Arabidopsis thaliana: one gene and its partners. The protein of the gene in region 3 interacts with the protein of the main gene of each other region in a pairwise test. Each region holds a gene or a part of one and is shown on either strand. Other genes may lie near its edges.

Region 1 (6,529 bases), on a different chromosome or scaffold from region 3:
GGTAATGAGTATCCAGAAAGCAAATGGCCTACCCAAATATCATCTTTCCTGATGAATGCAGAATCAAAACAATGAGATAAAGAACGTGTTCAATGTTGTGCTTGCACAAAGCAGAGTTCTTGACAACTTACAAAGCTATATCCATGTGACGAGGAGCATAATGTCCACCTCCAATGCCTAAAAGAACTTTCCTCTTTCCGGTTTCACTGTCCACCCAAAAACAATCCACACTAAGTTTAGATCGATACTTCGGTTTTTCTTTATGTCGAGGTAATGATTAAGCCCCAATGGATATACCTTTTCCACTTCCCTACTTCTTCACTGCCTCCTAGCCCAAGACCTTCCCACATTAACTGAATCACAAAACACAAATGCTCCTTACTAAATGGAAGCAAACTTAGAGATATAGACTAAAAGTTACTGGCCAGTCATGAGCCTCAAAAGTTGTTGTTAAGCATGATGATTATTAGAACCAAACTTTCAACCCTAGAGAAGTCTTTAAATCCACAGGAAACAACAAGATACAAGAACAACGACCTTTTTCTACCTCCTGAAACCATTTCAATTAACTAACTTTTTTACACTTACAAGAGCCATGACTTGAGCTGCGTCTTGCCTCTTCCAGTATTCCTCGGTACTACCTACACACACGTTATTCATTCTCAGACTATAGATTCAATTCCTCAAAAACTACACTGGAGATGAACTAAGAAACTCGGATACACAACGAAATGGCAATTTCAAGAGAGCGAGCAGAGAGCTAATCAATTCAGATAAAAGGAACAAAGAAAGAAACTCACCAATCTCCAAAAACATCGTTGGCTTGTTAGTTATTGGTCCATGATGAGTAGCTTCCAATGTTATCTGCATCCACACAAAGCAATTTACATTCTCTCTCACCTTAAACCATACTTCAATTCCAATCAAAAGCAAAACTCATAAGAGAGAGTAAACAGCAAAATACCTCAAACTCAGGAACTAAACCATGAGCTTCAGCCATTTTCTTCAAAAGACGAAACCATGGACCAATTCTAGTGCTTGGCAACGCCGCCCATCCAGGCTTTCCTCCTTGCGGCGGTGATTCTCCATCCTTTAGATGAAGCACTCCTACACTTATCAACCAAAACATCCTTCAGGAAAACATAAAACAACCAAAACCCAAATACAAAGTTTGAATCTTTCAGAAAATCGTAAAAAGAACAAAGCCCTAATCAAAAGTTTGGATTTTGATGCACTACCAATCGGATGAACAGTTAAAGCAGGACGATTTGAGACGGCGGTGTGACGGCTGAGGAAGATGACTTCATCAACAACTTCACCGGTAGCTTCTTCCCAACGTAAATCGAGATCGTCTTCTTTTACTATAGATCTATCGTGTTGAATCACTCTCGTTTGCTTGTTACTAAAACTCTTTATGTCCTGAAAATTTCGACAAGAACAAAATCAGACGAGAGAAAGGTTGATACTTTACCGGCGGAGGATGATTGAAACTTTACCGGCGGTAAGATAGGTCCGGCGGTCCAACCGGGCATGGCGAGAAGCGCCGCCGCAGGGTTGATCGACGCTGGATCGGCGGTGGTGGCCACGATTAGTGTTACCATTTTTCGAGTTGTTACTGTAACGCGATTATTGGCGTTTAAAAGCGATTGGATATGAGTTGCGTTTGCTTTGAGTCTATTGTTGTGCGTGTGGAGGAAGTGTATAATGTTTCGGCCGCTTATTTTCAAAATCATGAATTGAAACTTTTAGGTTTTAACTTTCGGAAAGGTGTTTAAAAGGATTTTATTTTGTTTGATCAACAAGCTAAGCAATTACTGAGTTCAATTGGTAATCAAGTTTAAACGAGGTAACTAATTTTTTTTAAGCGGTTAAAAAAAAAAACCAGTATTCGGAAAAATTGTAAAAGATGATAAAAAATTGAATCGCCGGATTATATATGATTTTTCTATGTTTTGGTAATTATAAAACTAAAATTTAACTCAGCAATTTGCTACAGAAAAAAAAAACCGTAACAAACAAAATTAAATCAAATTGAGTCTTGAATCGAGTTGATAAGTACAAATCAATTTTGTCGATTTTTGAGTCTTGATTCTGTGATAGGGGAATTTAAATGTTAAAAGGACTAATCAAAAACAAATAACAAAAATATCATTTCAAATAATTGGTTAGAGTAATTTAGCAATTTAAAAACTTTTGGAGTTTTTTTATCTATATTAAGAAAAAGAAAAGTATATATCACATAGAAAGTATATAATATAATATCACATGCATAACTAATGTCAAGTTTTTTTTTTCTGAAATTATGAGCCGAATATGTCTTCTTATAGTTTTTTTTTTATGCATAGTGATTTAGTTTAGAAATGAGGTATAGTAGATAAATAACTTTTTTTTTCTGTGCGCGAAACTTAGTAATTAAAATAACATCCGCTAAAAACTAGGATTGAACCAGCAGTAAATTGCGAGAGAGAAAAAAAATTCTATTTTAATTTGTTGATATTTAATTTTTAAGTTTTCTTAATTTATTACGCCAAAGAGTATATATTTTACAGTAAGTATATATAGAATAAGATTATGAGTTGGTCATCACAAATATTATTGTTTTGTTAGTTATATATAAAAAAACATTTGTAAAATAAATTAAAGTATAATATGTATGTTTTATGGATTACAAGTTTTGGGGATCACCTGTTATTTATTTTTTTAACAATACCATTGTCATTTATGAAAATCAAATTAAACCAACCCACCTATTGAATTTGTCTCGCATCATGCTAAGATATTTTGCATACTTTTGACTGACTAATCTTCAAAAATCCATCTAATGACAATGAATAATATAATCTGATTAATCCATATGATAACACTAAGTATTGTAAATTTGTTTAATTTTGTAACCTAGATACATATAAACAGTCATATATCATCAAAGTTATGATCCATAAATTATTGACAAAAAAAGTCATGATCCATAAATTGTTGAAAAACAATTCATAATCCAAATGATTATACTACTTTAAATGGAAGACATAATATAAAGTGTTTGTTGATTCATGCCCGTTTGAGAGTTACTACACTTGAAACTGAAACTTAGAGAAAACAAAAAAAACAAGAAAATTATCTGAATGACAGTCGAGGTTACACAATTCATCACTAAGAAAGAAAACATATATTTTTTCTCTAGAGAGTTACATTTTCTAAATCATTGTTTCACGGTGGTTTATGAAATATTTGGCAGCAAAGTCACACTGATGAGTAAATTTTGGCTCATGAAAATTTAATAAATTTTGGCTGGTAAACAAATAGATAATATGTTGTGTGAACAAAAACGTATAAGTTTGAGGAACAACCAAATATAGTTATATGTTTGCTTAATAGACTTAGCTTTCATTTTTTCTAAAATGATATCCATAAAATTATTATAAGACTCATAATTTATTATGTGACATTTTATAACATAAATTGTATGTAAACCTAAGATATATAAAATAATTTTAAAACTAATTTTCGATTATTCTTCGATTAACCGAGTAATCATTAGGACCCATCGGCTGTCTAATTAACGACTAACAATATTTTGAACATGGAACAAAACTAATCATCTATATAGGAATTACCATTTAAACGTAAAACCAACAATTACTAAATGCTCATTTATCATTATGAAATCAAATTAGTATTAAACTCAAATCCAATTAGTTCAAAATATTCTCTAACATCTACCATCATAGTTTACAAGAATGTTGGTCATCTCAAATTGATTTATGCACTTTATTGAACACTTTTTGTACATAAAATAAGCTAGGTTGTAGAACACATTCAAAATTAGGAAAAGAAAAAAACAATATACTGTAAATTAACCTTAATTAAAAATACCATTCAAAACCGTGGAGAAAAAATGAATCAATCAATCCTAATTACAAAAAACTGGTGCTGCCCAGGATCGAACTGGAGACCTTTTGCGTGTAAGGCAAACGTGATAACCACTACACCACAGCACCTGATGTCTCCTTATTCTCTCGTTTAATATTTAACTTTCAAACTAAAGCATCGCGAAATAAACCTTTGGGCTTCGAGTGAGCATCGGAGAAATCAGACAGATGTTGAGTTGTTCTTCATCGGCGTTCCAAAGAGTAGCCTTTATGCTTATGGCTCCCAAATTAAAACCTCAGAGACTCCATCAAAGTATGTATACACACTCACTTCTACATATATCTATTGCTTTGTGTGGTCTTTAGTGTTGATTAGTAACGATGGTTTTGGTGTTTGTGTAGTTGCAGAGAGTGGTGTTGAACATTTGGTTAAGAAAGCTAGGACGATGAGTACTGAATCCTCAATGAAAGATGCTTTCTCTACTTACGCTGATTATCTCAATAACTTCGTAAGTGTTTCCTCTGCTCCATTGTTTCTCCTGGGTTTATCTGTTTGTTTATAAAGATTGAACCTTTGCGTCATGGGATTGAGTCCTTTAAGTAAGGTTTATAGGTTTAGACAACTAAAGAAATGATCTTTCATGTTGCAACTTGGGTTTTGTAATAGATTCTATAGCGAATTGAGAATAAAGGAGGAGGCTTTATCTGGTTTCTATGATTGTTTCTTTGTAGAATGAGAAGCGAGAAAGAGTGGTGAAGGTAAGTCGTGATATCACAATGAACAGCAAAAAAGTTATCTTTCAGGTTCACAGGTAATTTCAACACCTCTGTTGTTTTTGTTTGTGTTCATCAAGATTTTGTGTGTTTTTGTTGTGTTCTTCATCAAGATACTGTTTGTTTGTTTTGTTTACTATGTTGTTATATGGCAGGCTCAGTAAAGACAACAAAGAGGAGGTATTGGAGAAAGCAGGGAAGGATTTAGAAGCAGTGAGGGATCAACATTTTGCCCGGCTAATGAAAGAGCTTCAAGGGACTGATTTTTGGAAGCTGAGACGTGCTTATTCCCCAGGGGTTTGTGAAACGGAAAATCATTCATCTTTTGGTACGATTTTGGTTAATGGTTTAACTGATATGTTTTGTGGTTTTGTGTAACTTACAGGTGCAGGAATATGTTGAAGCTGCAACGTTTTATAAGTTCTGTTTGTCTGGGACGCTATGTACTCTCGATGAGATTAACACAACGCTTGTACCACTTAGTGACCCTTCTTTAGAGCCGTTGCAGATCAATATCCTCGACTATATTCTTGGGGTATTTTTTAGACCATCTTTATTTATGGTTAATACTTACTGTCAAAGATGTTCTCTATTGTTTGGAGTTCTGAATTATGTTTGATTATTGTTTGTTACTTGCACAGCTTGCAGATTTGACGGGAGAGCTAATGCGGATGGCAATTGGTCGCATATCAGACGGTGAAATCGAATTCGCGCAGAGGATTTGTCAGTTTGTTCGACAGATTCATAGGGAACTAATGCTAGTTGTGCCAAAGATGGATGACAGTTATGACATGAAATCCAAGATGGAAGTGATGCTTCAAAGTGTGATCAAAATAGAGAACGGTATGCACAAATCTCATATCCGCACACTATTAGATACCAACCAATACGTTTTTGTAACTCTTTTTTGTTTGTTTGTTTATTAGCTTGCTTTAGCGTTCACGTGAGAGGATTAGAGTATATTCCACTGCTTGGAGATAATGCACCAACATCATACCTATTGGGAGCTGCTGATGTCGAATGATTAAAAGTGAGTGGTCTTTTCCGTCTCTCGGACACATTTTAAAGTTCTTGTTAAGGTTGGTGTGTTTGCGACAAGTAGGATCGTTTTAGTATGGACTTATCTTCAGAGAATTTTAGCCACTTCTTACTTCTGAGGAACTTTAAATCTGTATGCTGCAAGACTTTTAAGAAACAAATGGTTAGAACTAGATGTAAAACTTTTCTTTTGTTGAATGGAAGCTAATTTATAATAGAATCTAGCAATTACTTTATTATTCAAGTTAATAATTTTGGCCCTTCTTCACTTTTTCTAGATCTTTCGTAATCCAGAAAGTACATTTTTTGGTTCTTGCTGTTTGTTTGTGCTTAATGAGGAAACATATATAGATACTCTTATCTTTTATGCAGCTACATATAATGCATCTTATTATAGTTCGACATTTGGTACTTTTATATAGGATTTTGACATTTTTTATAAATTTATATCTATCATTCATAGATAGAGTTTTATTTTGAAATCATAAATCTTTCTTTTGTAAAGAAAGTGATAAAAATAGAGAAAAATCTCACATTTTAAGATGTTCATAATCTAGTTATATATAGAGTTATGTGCAAGCAATACCACAATAGTACAATCTGTGTGATATGATTATTGGGTTTTGATGTTTTTCCTTTTTATTTTTAAGATTTCATGGCTTATATAAAGGATTTTTATGCTAATGAAAACACAACTTCCAACAATTAGCCTCTAAGAGAGACTTGGGTTAAGAGGAAGCTTGCTTTAAATCTCTTTGTTCTTTAAGCTTGAGCACTTCTTTGCAATTCAATCATTACTGAGATAACAGAGGGTCCATTTACAAAAGCAAGAGCAAAAGCTTTGGCTC
Region 2 (5,576 bases), on a different chromosome or scaffold from region 3:
AGAAAAAGAAAAAAATATCTAAGAATAATTTGGCGTTATTGTGGGAGATTTGATTCGGTAAACTGACATAGCCGATCCAGTAGTGAAGCTGACCACATTTGGGCTTTATTGTCTGTTTTGTTATAAAAAAAAGGATATAAACTAAAGTTTTTCGCTATTTGTGCATCAATGCATACGTTAGCACGTAGACGTGGCATCCAACTAGCAACCAACCCCAACGTCCTTTCCAAAAGTCAGGATTGTTGCTTGTTGGTCTCCAATCTCCATTACTCTACATAGATCAATTGAAAAGGTAATTCATTATGCTCCTTAAACTTAAGATAATCATATCAAAGATGCACCGAGGAAAAAAAAAGGATCATGTCAAGTAGTATAATAATAAAAAAACGTGCCTTTTGGAGAGGTCTTTGGGTTGGTATCTTACTAATGTTTTACCAAGAGGATTTTATGGTCAAAACCTCTCCATATCATAAGACTTACTCCGGACCAAATCCCTGACCGACCGGTGATCAGCAACACGTTTCAGAGAACCCGACTTCGATAAGTTAACTTTTTCTAGAAATTAATAGCTCTATTTCATGAATTTTTAAGTGGAAAATTTTCATTACATGTTTATATTAACTTGTCACTGTGACAAACTATCAGTAAGTGTTAGGTTAATACCTAAACTCAATCAAAATTATAAAAGTCAAAAGAGAAAAAATTAACCAAAAGTAGTAACATCCGAAAACTAAACACAACGCTTTTCTAAAATGTTCACAAACAACAGAACCTCTAACTTCATTATTCCATTACAAATCCGATAATGATTCGTAGATTTAAAGAAACAGCAACACAAAACAGAGTAAAGAAAATTCAAAACAGAGAAGAAGACGAAATTGATGAGAAAATCATAAGAATCAGAGAGCTTTAAGCATATCCTCAGCACTACTATTAGTAAAAGCACCTCCTTCTTCAAGATTCAGAACTTTCACAACACCATCATCAGCCAAAATCGCATATCTCCTTGACCTAACTCCAAGTCCCACAGGCTTATCCCTCAAATCCAATTCAACACCAAGCTTCCCTGTGAATTCGCCATTTCCATCGGATAGCAACATTACCTCATCGTTAATTCCAAGATCTTTCCTCCACGCTTCCATCACGAACGCGTCGTTGACGGAGATACATGCGATTACATCGATGCCTTTAGATCTGAGTTCTCCGGCTTTGGATACGAATCCAGGGACGTGTTTTTGTGAGCATGTTGGTGTGAATGCGCCGGGAACGGCGAATAGGATTGTTTTCTTCCCGGCGGTTAGGGATGAGACGGTTACTGTTTTGACGTCTCCGGTGGATGGATCGAGGTAGGAGAGAGTGGAGTCTGGGAGCTTGTCTCCGACGGAAATGGAGGCGGTGACGGGTGTCGTAGCGAAGGATCTGGTGGTGGCGGAGGCGGAATTGGTGCGGCGGTTGCGGAATTTGAGAGAGAGATTAGGAGCGAGAGAGCGTGTGAAGGAGAGCGGCGCGGTGAAGGATACGGTGGGGGAAAGTAACGGCTTAGCGACGGAGATAACGGTGGCGGAGGAGGACATGAATCTAGAAACGGAGAGAGAAGTCGCCATTGATGCTGTTTAGGTGAAGAGTGTGTGACTTGAGGTTTGTTTTGGATTGAGTAGAGAAAGATGAAAGGCTATGTCATTATTGGGCCTACATTGTTTTCACCGCCTGATCCTTAGTGGGCCTAAATTGTATTATTCACCGCATTCTTTAATATCTACATATTTGCTTTTAAATAGGGTTGATGCAAAAAATGGTGGACACAATGAGATTGGAGGGAAGAGGAAAAGAGCGTGAAATCGGAAAGCTTTTTCAAAATAATTTGGAATTTCCTAACGCCGTTATTGGGCCTTAATGGGCCTACATTGTTTTCACCGCCTTGTTCCTAAGGCTTTGATATTTATATATTTGCTTTTAAAGAGGGTTGATGCCAAAAAAAAAAAACAAATTAGGTTTCCATTGGTATCGTAGGCACTACGGAGAGAATGTCTAGAATTCGTAGTGATTGGTCCAACCTTTGTTTCGATATTTTGAGATCAATCTTTGAAGGATTAGAGACTAAGGATTATCATCGAGCGAGGAGCGTTTGCTCACAATGGTATTTAGTTTCAAGATCATGTACGCGACCTATATGGTATCCATGGCAACTTATGCGCGACGAGGATGGTACTTTTTTGGGTCATCACAGTGAAGATCGCGAATTCTCCTTCGAAGTAGAATGTCTTGGATTTGATTTATTGAAAAGCTTTGTTATGGCTAGTTGGAGTAGTTGGCTCTTGATGAATGATCCTAGTTTAGATTTCTTATATCTTTTGAACGTGTTTACTCGCGAGATGATCAATCTTCCATCAATGAAGTCATATAAAGGAAAACAAACCAAATTGACGTCTCCTCTCAAAAATTTGGCTTGTTTTTGGATAAACGAGAGAACAAAGGATTATGTTGTAGCTTGTATTACCGAAGAAAACTGTTTGTTCACATACAAGAATGAAGATGATTATTGGTGGAATGTTGAAGACATATATTGTACACACATGACTTATAAAGACGATAAGCTTTATGTGTATACAATTGATAGCTACATCAAGACTTGATTTCTCTGGAGCTTTCCCAAAAGAAATCGTCCAAGGAAACCCGTACCGTGACCATCCGTTTTGCTTTGATAACCAACTTGGGGAATACGGTGGGAAGACGAGGATTGCGATTACGAACTCAATGGATGTTTTGATCGCTGTGAGCATTAAACGGTTACAAAACTCACGCTTGTTTTACATCTTCAAGATGAATTTTGAAAGTAGTAACTGGGAAAGAGTACATTCTCTTGGAGGTGAGTTGTTGATATTTGGTCATGGGGTCACAATCAAAGATGTTCTTTTTTTTGGCAACGCTTATGATGACATCATTAAAGGATACGTTTGCTCAAAAAGTTTCTGGTTTGTTCCTGTATATGCTTAAGACTTGGTTCGATCAGGAGCGCTTGTCTTGACGTTTAGATATACTAACTATTTTATTCATGTTGGAGGCTTTTATGTCATGATGTGTAAGATGTTAAAGATTTTCTATTTCACATGGGCAAGTTTTGAGTATCATATTGTTTTTTTTTTAGCTTATGGGTGAATCATTTTTAGTGATGGCTGATGACAATCGACAATAATGATAAAAAAAACCAATTCATTTTTCAACGCAATTCGAATACTATATAGCTGAGAAGAAATATGCGTCTATTATTCTAACTATCCATTTTTTTCTTTTGCTAAATTGTAAATATCATATTAATGAAAGAGTTGTTTTTCTTCCAGAAAAAATGAAAGAGTTGATTTTACAAAATGCATTACCTATACAATTTGTCTTACGTGATTTTCAGTGATATCGACCGTGAAATATTCTACTCGTCCTTAGGTTATGTTTTGTTTTGCTACATGGAGAGGCCTTGGTTGGGATCCTAATTCTAAACATTTGATCGTTACCTTGTTATAAATTTATTCAACTTCTACTTCATAGGATAAATTAAGTTATAGATAGTATATACACACTACTTTAGCTCTACAAATCAGTTGATGCAGTTATGTTTGAGAAAGGAAAACAAAAAAGCATACATTGTACGTGGAAAGAGCTAAATGGTTAAAAATCTAAAGATTACCATGAACTTAATTTCTAAGTTTCTCAAATTCGTTCCAATTTAATAGACACTAAGGGGGGTGTATTCAAATTAGAATTTAAAGTGATTTGAGTTTTATTGAGTATTTAAATGATTTTGATGATTTTAGGGAAGTTCATGATTTTTGTAAAATCTATTCAAATCTCACCTTAAACTATGAGATTTAGATTTCTATATTTTTAATACAGGAAATCCTCCAAAATCATTAAAAATTCAAATCCACAAATTGTTTTCATGAGACTTCTTAAAAATGTAGGATTTATAAATTCTATACAAATCTCTCATAAGACTTCTTAAATGTTGAACACAAATCCTTGATGGTAACTAAATTTATTAAGGGGACGAAAAAAAACACATCTCAGTTTTGTCTCAGAAAAATGAAAAAAAAATACAAATGCAGGCTGTGGGGTTCGAACCCACGCGCACTTATGTGCAGAAGAACTTAAGTCTTCCCCCTTAACCTCTCGGGCAAACCTGCCTTGATGTCACTCATATGAAATATAACCTTCTTAATAAACGTTTGTATCTTCCTCTTATCATTATGTTTGGAGACCTCTCATAACTATAATATATTTGTGTCGAGATTGTGATTTCTTTGTTGGTTTGCTTAATATATGCAACCTAACCACACATTCACAAATTCCATGTAATATTGATAGATAAGCTTCATAGATAACACACGTGTTTTCCTCCATATGTTCCTCTGTCTTTCTCATATCCACACAACAATCGCTCTAAGGAACAGTGACACAAACACATTCACAAGAAGGAAGCAAACACATATTCACTTATATCAAAGACCAGAATCTGCAGTGCAATGATATTCCCTTGATTTATTTTCCCGGTTTCAGAGGTTTTACATAAACTCTGTCAAATAGAGTAATCTGAATAAGGTTTTTCCCCATTAATTTAATATCATAGGGAAACAAAGTTTTTTGTTTTTTTTTCTGTTTGCATTCGCAAAACATGTGACCCCAAAAGACAAGAGACAAACTGTATGAAACTTACCAAAAAATTAAGAGAAAAAGAGTTTTTGTTCTGCATCCCAAACAGTTTGCTTCAGCAAAAATCAGTTCTTTGAACGCTTCAAGTAAACAACTATGGCTATGCTTGTTAGGACAACAGCTCCTGTAACCACCACACCACCACGCCATGAAACCCATCCGCTTCCTCTGTCTCGAGAATCACCTTTCTTGAGTTGGGTGGTTTCTGAGCTCAAGCTCCTTGTTGACTCAGTGAAGTCCAGATGCAGCCTCAAAACCTTTTGTCCTGTAGACCTAGCAAGAGTAACAGCACCAACCAAATCGCTATCCGATGTAATCAAAACCTTATCACCTTCATCGTCCTCATATATAATCTGAGGCCGTTGTTCCACATTGTTATTGTCGCTGCCAATTCTTTGCATCACAATACCCATCAGCTCTTCGAGGTTTTCAGCTCCAGAAGTAAACCGATGTACACGGCCCTTAAGGTCTTCAAATTTGAACGAAAACGAATTCCCTAGTCCTAGAGATGGGTAAGAACTGAGCTTCCCTATATCTGAATGATGCATCATTGCCGACATTTCACTTTGAGTGTCAGAATCATCAGGTGGCTCTAACGCAAGAGCTGAATCCCAAAATTTCTGCATCATCGTGTTTGCCATATCATTTACAGCTCCAGAACTGTTCTCCACCATTGAAATAGCTGCGTGAGTAATCTGAAGAACGTCTACACAAGCTGCAGCTGATCCATCTTTATCTATAATTGGAAGATGTAGAAACTTTCCATCATGCATTGTATGCAACGCATCCAGAATCGTTGTCTCTAGCGATGCACATTCAGGATTCGGTGTCATTACCTTCTCGACAAGAGTCAATTCAGGAGATAAATTTTGTGC
Region 3 (8,472 bases):
GTGTAAAATAGGACTTAATTACGTAATTACATTCATTGCAAATGCTGGATATTATTGGTAGTGTAATAATATTAAATAGATAAACGATTTTGAAAACATATCTGAAAAGTATCCATTTTATTATCGTTTGTGTAATATTAGGTGCGTTTGATAATGCAGTATTTATTAGAAAGTTGTCGCTTAATTAGAGAAAATTTTCCTAAGATGGAGGAATTAATTTATTTAGTAGTAACGTATAAAAAAGGCTTTATTTGAGGGAAGAATCTAATGGTACAAATGAGGATAAGATTTATAAAAATAAAGTCATGAAAATGACGTGGCGAGTACGTGCACTCGATTATTAATAATTAAAAATAAAATTAAATCGAGGAAAGCCACATGGGTGATCATAAAAGGCAATATCTCTTAAATAAAAGGTCAATCCAACGGTTCGATTCGTCACGCGCTTCGATCGAAACGTATAACTGACTTAAATTAAAATAATTGTATCGTATTTTAGCTACTTTTTAAAATTGACAGCAATAAAATTTGTGTAAAAATGTAAATACTTTATAGTTAGTGCTCAGGAGAAATAAAATGTTGATAGACGTCTTTGAACAATCAATGGAGTGGAAGGTGTGGCCGAATTAGTCAATTTGTTAACAAATGCCAAGGCCAAATATTTTGTTGGGCTTTTAGTTTGGCCCAAATTGTATACAATGCTTGATGACAAACTCGGAAAAAAAAAGCAAAAAAACAAAAAAAAACCTCTCATAATACATTAGTTTATTATATAAAATGTTCCACTAAATCACACATCTCCTCCTCACTCAACACGAAACCCTTCCAAATTCCTTCACTATCCATTTCAATTTCATCCTCCCCTTGTCCTTGATGCTCCATTGAAGCTATGTGAAGCTCATCACCATAATCAAACACACCTCCACATTGATCATCGATGTCATCACCATACTCTTCTGGCTCAGCTTTAACAAACTTTCCATTATCCTCAACACCATGGCTTGAGATCACCTCTTGCTTTTGCTCTCGATTCTTGATTCCTTGCAGATTACGTTTCCTTAAGCTCTGTAAAAAACTCGGTTTCTTAATCTTCTTTAGCAAGAAATTCATCATCATTTCTTGCTTTACTTCTGTGACTTTCAGTTTCTCTTCCATCAAATGCAGATATGTCTTCACGCTTTCTTGTTTTCGTCGCAGTCTAACCAGTTCTACTTCTAAAGCCATTCTGTCTCTTCGCAGCTCATGGATCTCTCCTTCTAGCGACTGCGTTTGCGTTTGAGATGATGTCTTTCTTCTCTTGATGTTCTTAAGAAGATGCCTCTCTCCCTTCAGAAAATGCTCATTTGCAAATTCCCATCTCTCTGTATCAATCTTCTTAAACCCCTACAGATCATTAAACAAAGATTTAATTTTTAATGAAGATCAAAATAACCAAGACAAAAACTCAAAAGTAGTTACGTACATAAGTATTGAGCTGTCTAACAAAGCTGGAGAAATTATTGTGCTTAAAGCATCTAGGGAGGCAAATTAGGGCAAAAGTCTCTGGTTCCCAAACAATGAAGCTGTTGTTGTCTCTGCTCCATGAAACTATGTTGTTTGTGCTTGAATCCTCCACTATGTTGTATGTTTTCGTCAAGAAAGCCGTTGGTGGCGTTTCTTTGAGACCCTCTAATGGAATTGGAAGGTTATAATCCATTTTGTGAACAAAAAACCTATATAAATTTGAGCTTTTTTAATAAAAAAAGAGAGAGGAGAGAATAGTTGTGATGAATAGCTGAAGCTTGAGGATGCTTTTATGCTGTCTATATTTTTGGGGTTTAATATTTTTGGATAGAAATGTATTGCTTTTGAGTGTTTTGGATAAGTCTATTTATTAGTTATCTTTGATGTGGACAAAGCCGATTTGCTATAAATGGAAATGAGAGATCATAGTGTCATACATTCATTGGAAGATGCTACTTTTGTGTTCTTTTGTCTTCTATGAATATCAGAAAATCTAAAATTTAATTAATCATTATAAATTTAGTGACTATGCTCCAACATTTATAAGCTTCGTTTTCGCCCATGACACGTTGTAGTGAATGCATAGAGATACGTTTCGTGGTTTGTTTGTTTATTCTGAAGTCAGAATGATGGGATTTTTGGTGGAACCCTTTGAAAGATTTGTGTAGAGAACAAGAGTATCCTTTGAAAATTTGATTGATCCTTGATTCAATTGAATTGGGTTGGGGGAAAACCAGATCTAACCACACCAAATCAAACGGTTAAGCACGACACAAGCAGAATTATACATTATATATATATATACAATTAATATATTGATAATGCATAATTTTAAGAAGATTTTGTAAAGAAGAGGTCATTTCAAATATAAGAAAATTTATGCTTTAACTTTTGAAGTACACTAACACTATATAAGTAATAATACTTGAATTACAGTTTGGAAAGCTCAAATAATTTATTCGAAAATCGTAGGGTTTTTTTAGTTATAAATTTCACGTTCGCAGCTGACATTTGTTTTTTAATGATACTTATTAGATAAATACACACTATTTTTTTTATGTATAAAAGCATACATCGCAAAAGTATGTTACAAGAACAACTATCCAGAAGGAGCCGCTGTTTTTATTTTACTGCTTAAGACTAAAGAGTAAACAATACATACAAATTACACAACAAGCATATATTAATATTGTTAATGTGCTTTAACGGTTTCTCCAAACTTGTAGGTTAAGCCGTGGATATACTTTTTCCTAACAGGATGTTCTTCCTGTGGCCGGTTATATGGTGTCCAAACCGGTTCCCCCACGAACAGCCTCATTAGCTGCAAAACCAAACCACCATACATCACAAACCAACAATCAAATCTTTTAACATAAGATATTAAGATGTAATATTTCATTTGCGTATTCATATAAATTAGTAAATTAGTATAGAGACTGAGTTTGGCTTTTTGTACCTTGATGTAGTTGCTGGCGTCGAGTGTGAACCGGTGGTAGATTCCGGCAGGAAGGACAATGAGATCGCCAGGTTGCATCCAGATACGGATCCAACGATCATCCTTGTCCCTAACATCAAAGTAGCCACTTCCTGCTAGGCAGTACCGAATCTCTTCGTCCTTGTGAATGTGTTCTGTGAAAAAGTTCTTCAGCTTTTCTTCGTAGTTGCTGACTTTCTCGGGACACAGATCCAGCAAATCCTAAAATGAAGATTAACCAAAGTAATCATTCTGCTTGAGAAAATTAGTTTATAGCTCATAAGTTACAATGCTACACACCACACAAATAGCTTAATTATTTTTAACGTAAACCAAACGTTTTAATGTTCCCTTAATACTCAATTACAGAGAAGCCTTCTTCCTTAATAAGCTGGTTTCTAAAATGTTTGTAGTCATACTACCCCTTAATGGTTATGCAAGATTATAGTCCTACTGTCCTATGATACATGTTTTTTTTTTTCATGAGATTAGCGTGCAGAGATAACAAGTAAAGGAACTGAAACATCAATAGCCGCTTATGGTGAGCATGAGTTAAAAAAGGGTGATCAGAAAGACATAAGCCGTAGCAAATCCTGTACTCTAATACTCATAAGGCTTCTTTCTTCATAGGCTGGTTTTGTAAGGTTTGAGTACTACCTTCATTATGTAGTCCTACACTCCTACTGTGTCTAGTATATGTCACAATCGTTAATCTCATGAGATCAACATGCAACGATATGCAACAAGTTAAAAAACAGAGACATTCAATTGGCATTTATGATGAGCATGAGTGTTCCTAAGTTAAGAAAAAACAGTGATCAGGAAGAGATAATATGCGTACCATGTAATCGTAACCCCTGTCTTCTCTAATCTTGCTAAGTTCAGAATCATTCTCGTAGTTCTCAGGGTTCAACTTCCAGTACAACACTCCCAACTCTACAAAACACAACAACTATATTTGTGATATTTGCATAATTTATGATTCTGTTAAATCTCATCTTGGGTAAATTTGACCATTTCCTTAGTTTTAAGACGGTTTACGTTTAGTTTCCTCATGTAGAATCACTACTCAATACAATAAAGCATGAAAGATTGATGTTTTTCAAAAGTTGCAAAGTAAGAGTAATTTTTAAGGTAGAGAATTGAAAAGACCTGCCAAGTAATCCAACGAGACGAGTTCTTTCGGGTTACGATGATGAGGAAGTCTCTGGTCCTCATTGCTATCATCCATAAACCATGCCTGCATCAATCAACACTTAAGCCTCAGGGAAAGAAAAAAATCTCAAGAAAAAACTTTTGATTCAATTTTCAATTTCAGCTGCAAAACGGTAAAATCAAATCCCAATTCTCAGTTCTGCCAAAATCAAATCAAATCCCCAAAATAATTCCGAAAGAGCAACGATAATCACTATTGAACGAATCGAGATTCGAAATCAGAATCTAGAACCTATGAATCAGAACTCACCTCGAGAGCCATTAATGATCTTCGTTGTGTAAATGCTTTTTTGATTTCAGACTCATCAGAGTGATGAAGATCAGATAAATAAATGGCTATTTCCTCCGTCGATGATAGCCACGTGTACGATCACTTTAATTCGTATTATTTTCCTTTCTCCTAATTTTTATTAATTCTGGTTTCGAAATTCTAATAATAAAAAATCGTTATTTTTTCTTTTGCACGAAAAAAACAACCGTTTTCGAGCCACAATGATCATGAATGAATAAGACCAAAACATTGGCTCATTTGTATGATATTGTATTTTCTGAGGTTCATATATTTCCATCTGATTTGAACTAGAATGATCTATATTCAGATATATAATTTATATTTCAAACTTGAAATTAGTTTTAACTAGAAAAAAAAAATGTAATCCAAAATCGTACATAGGTATATATATTTTTTTTCCACAAATCGTACATAGGTAATGAGGTAATGTTTAACACTTTAACTTGGGCCGTGTAATACAAATTGGGCCGTTTAACACTTTAAATTAGTCTCGAATGTTATATAATGTTTTTTTTTTTTTTAAATTGGACTAGAGAAAAAGTAGTCTAGTATGAAGTACAAAGCCCATTCCTTGTACCCAGCAACAGCATATCAATTTATTTTTTTGCTAAGAGCATATCATATCATATCAATTTTTTTCTCTTCTATATTTTAATTTTTAATACTTCTTAGTCATAAATCTTTTGACCATTTATTATTAAATTTAATCTGAAACACAAAGTAACTTTCTTACAAAAATTCAAATCTCCAATTATTTTGTTTGAATTTAAATATTTTTTAAAATTCCAAAAAATCTCATATATATAGGATCTGACTTTGTTTAAATATAGAGAAATTTAACTAGACTATAATAAAAAGACTTCATAAAATTTATTACCCAAAATTAGAAAAAATCAGGTTTCAATACTGAAAATAGACTATGAATATATGGCCTTATGATTGTAGTTGTTATATTCCATGCACACATAAGTAATTTCTTTCTATTTGATTTGTTTTTTAAAAAAAAATATTTAGAAGTTTAAATTTAAAGGTCTTATATTTTTTAGAGATGGGACACAAGTTAAATTTATATTCTTTAGAAAATAGATTCTTTTCAACAGACGTTTAATCCAATATCTACATCTGGAAGATTTATCATTACACCAACCCCAATAATATAAGTAATTTAACATAAGTAATTTTTTTCTATTTGATTTTGTTTATGTGCTCTTTAAAATTAACCAAGATTTCAACGGCCATACTTCTTATAACTTTTAATAATATCTCTACTCACCTCATTCTCATGAACCCACCAAACAAAAAAAGTAAAGAAAAGAAAAACTAATAAAGAACAAAAAAAATGTCCTCTTCTTCATCAAGAAACGCCTTTGAAGATGGCAAATACAAATCAAATCTCTTAACCTTGGACTCATCATCTCGTTGCTGCAAAATAACACCGTCTTCTAGAGCTTCACCGTCTCCGCCAAAGCAGCTGTTGGTGGCTACGCCGGTGGAGGAAGGAGATTATCCGGTGGTGATGCTCCTCCATGGTTACCTTCTCTACAACTCCTTCTATTCTCAGCTTATGTTGCATGTCTCTTCTCATGGCTTCATCCTCATCGCTCCTCAGGTTCAATTTCAATTTCCAATCATTACATTAGTTCAGGAACTAATTAGCCACTGAAATTCTTGTTTAGTTTTAGATTCCTATGTGTATTAGTAATTTAGTATAGAAATTATTTTTTGGGGGGTCAAACTAGTGTATAGTTTTTGTTTAATTAGTAAAATGTTATGAGTTATTTTTATGGAAATGGTACTATCGGAATTGTTAAATCCAGTGTATAGTTTTTGTTTAGGGATTTAGTATTAGTGTAGAGTTTAGAAAAATGTAAATTCGCTACAATCTCGTTCCATTCCATTTTGTGCAAATATTGCATGTGACTGACTACTTGGTCCTTTGAGGTTTAGTGTGAATGTTCATGAATATGTAGGTCCATGTATTAAGATATTCTAGTTGAATCCAAAAAAATCATAATAAATACATATACATTGATTTGTTAGGACTTATAGGATTTAGGATTTAGGATTTAACCAAGATGTATCTATAATTCAGCTGGATGCATGGAACACATTATGCCACGTTTAAATTAGTTATTTTTCTGAAACTTTTCTTTTATTATTGTTTGGCTCTTATAAGAACCTTAGACAAGAAGAAAAGTAAGAACAAAAATGCATATCAATGGGTCCACTTGATGTGTTTATCCTGTTTTTGTCTCTAGAGTCTCTCGAATTTCTAATATCAAATGTTAACATTTTATTTTATATGGTTGTAAATCAAATTTCTTGGCTATGTGATATTATAACAGTTATATAGTATCGCCGGACCAGACACAATGGATGAGATTAAATCAACGGCGGAGATTATGGATTGGTTATCAGTAGGACTTAATCACTTTCTTCCAGCGCAAGTAACACCAAACCTATCCAAATTTGCCCTCTCCGGCCATAGCCGCGGTGGCAAAACCGCGTTTGCGGTCGCCTTAAAGAAATTTGGGTACTCCTCGAATCTAAAGATCTCGACATTGATCGGTATAGATCCAGTCGATGGAACAGGGAAAGGGAAACAAACCCCTCCTCCGGTGTTGGCTTACCTTCCAAACTCATTTGACCTAGACAAAACGCCTATACTTGTGATCGGTTCGGGGCTTGGTGAAACCGCTCGGAACCCATTATTCCCACCGTGTGCACCTCCCGGAGTGAATCACCGAGAGTTCTTTCGGGAATGTCAAGGTCCAGCATGGCATTTCGTTGCGAAGGATTATGGGCATTTGGACATGCTTGATGATGATACAAAAGGGATTAGAGGGAAGAGTTCTTATTGTTTGTGTAAGAATGGTGAAGAGAGGAGACCAATGAGGAGATTCGTTGGTGGACTTGTTGTATCATTTTTGAAGGCTTATTTGGAAGGAGATGATCGTGAATTAGTTAAGATCAAAGATGGGTGTCACGAGGATGTTCCCGTTGAAATTCAAGAGTTTGAGGTTATCATGTAAACATAAGTTTTTCTTTAGGGGCTGGTTTTTCTATTGTCAATATCATCAGCTTTTGTTGCTTATGGTTTTACAAACTTATATTGTACAACTCTTTAAGTCACCTCTTTGCTTATGATATTAACCCGATCACATTCACAATACTAGAAGAGTGAACTTTCAAAACCTTTAAAAGAATATCATGTAATTTACATATTCTTCTAATACAAAGATCTTACTTTAAAAATATAAATTAGACAGCTCAGACCCAATATCTCTTCTAGCTAGAAAAAAGGCACACCAAGAAAAATAGATAATACAAATTTGCCCCATTAGTTTCCATATTCATGTGACTTTACCCAAGACTATACCTTAATTCAACATTTATGTTTCCTATCAGAAGCAATGGAAAGAAGCATGGAAACACCTTGTGTCCAAAGATCATATTCCCTTTGGCTTTTGCACTCGAATTCAATCACTCTTTTCTCCACCGTCTTCAGCCCGAAATACCTCAAATTCTCTCCACCCTCGAGCATTTCCCGGCCAGGCCACGCCGGTAATCCCTTAACCAATCCCACCACCACATCTACAGAGATCAATACATCAAAAATTCAGCGACTTAGTGACAAACTAATTTAGTTATAGACCAAAAACTTAAGACTAATGTGAACTGAAAAGGAAAGTGTGTAATAATGGAATTACCATTAGACAAATCCGTTACTTTATTTTGTTTTTTGGTGATTTGTTGAAAGACCAAAAAGAAACAAAGAGACTAGCTAGTATTATTCTAAACAGATTAATTAATCGTTTCATGAAAGTTTGGATCTGTCTTTAACTTTACGATCCAATAGTCTCTTAAACTTCAAAAACTATTCCTAAGTTGGTACCTTTTTGACCTTTTGATCTATTGGATTCCCAATAAAAATACAAAGCAAGAGTAAGAGAGAAGCAAAGCATCACAGTTTCACTCACTCTTTTTC

The links.
Region 1: the proteins of ARD4 (region 3) and AT2G03780 interact in a two-hybrid assay, tested with the Arabidopsis thaliana proteins (one large-scale study listed by BioGRID).
Region 2: the proteins of ARD4 (region 3) and AT3G52960 interact in a two-hybrid assay, tested with the Arabidopsis thaliana proteins (one large-scale study listed by BioGRID).

What each region holds. Positions count from the first base shown.
Region 1 is NC_003071.7:1,151,854-1,158,382, reverse strand, and holds AT2G03780 (Translin family protein), read left to right. Parts: upstream 1-4,060; 5' UTR 4,061-4,097; coding exon 4,098-4,182; intron 4,183-4,214; exon of another isoform or gene 4,215-4,271; coding exon 4,272-4,378; intron 4,379-4,601; coding exon 4,602-4,681; exon of another isoform or gene 4,682-4,781; coding exon of another isoform or gene 4,782-4,798; coding exon 4,799-4,940; intron 4,941-5,028; coding exon 5,029-5,178; intron 5,179-5,284; coding exon 5,285-5,486; intron 5,487-5,569; coding exon 5,570-5,667; 3' UTR 5,668-5,937; downstream 5,938-6,529. Other genes in the region: GEK1 (D-aminoacyl-tRNA deacylase), read right to left, coding at 1-48, 132-206, 298-353, 589-641, 801-864, 965-1,107, 1,239-1,419, 1,497-1,733.
Region 2 is NC_003074.8:19,635,727-19,641,302, reverse strand, and holds AT3G52960 (Thioredoxin superfamily protein), read right to left. Parts: upstream 1,755-5,576; 5' UTR 1,605-1,754; coding exon 900-1,604; 3' UTR 593-899; downstream 1-592. Other genes in the region: AT3G52950 (CBS / octicosapeptide/Phox/Bemp1 (PB1) domains-containing protein), read right to left, coding at 4,767-5,576. UniProt on the Arabidopsis thaliana protein: Thiol-specific peroxidase that catalyzes the reduction of hydrogen peroxide and organic hydroperoxides to water and alcohols, respectively. Plays a role in cell protection against oxidative stress by detoxifying peroxides.
Region 3 is NC_003076.8:17,624,669-17,633,140, forward strand, and holds ARD4 (RmlC-like cupins superfamily protein), read right to left. Parts: upstream 4,696-8,472; 5' UTR 4,455-4,695; coding exon 4,443-4,454; intron 4,218-4,442; coding exon 4,130-4,217; intron 3,914-4,129; coding exon 3,819-3,913; intron 3,200-3,818; coding exon 2,960-3,199; intron 2,825-2,959; coding exon 2,696-2,824; 3' UTR 2,464-2,695; downstream 1-2,463. Other genes in the region: HSFA6A (heat shock transcription factor A6A), read right to left, coding at 769-1,383, 1,463-1,696; CLH2 (chlorophyllase 2), read left to right, coding at 5,824-6,093, 6,830-7,516; AT5G43870 (auxin canalization protein (DUF828)), read right to left, coding at 7,870-8,078, 8,465-8,472. UniProt on the Arabidopsis thaliana protein: Catalyzes 2 different reactions between oxygen and the acireductone 1,2-dihydroxy-3-keto-5-methylthiopentene (DHK-MTPene) depending upon the metal bound in the active site.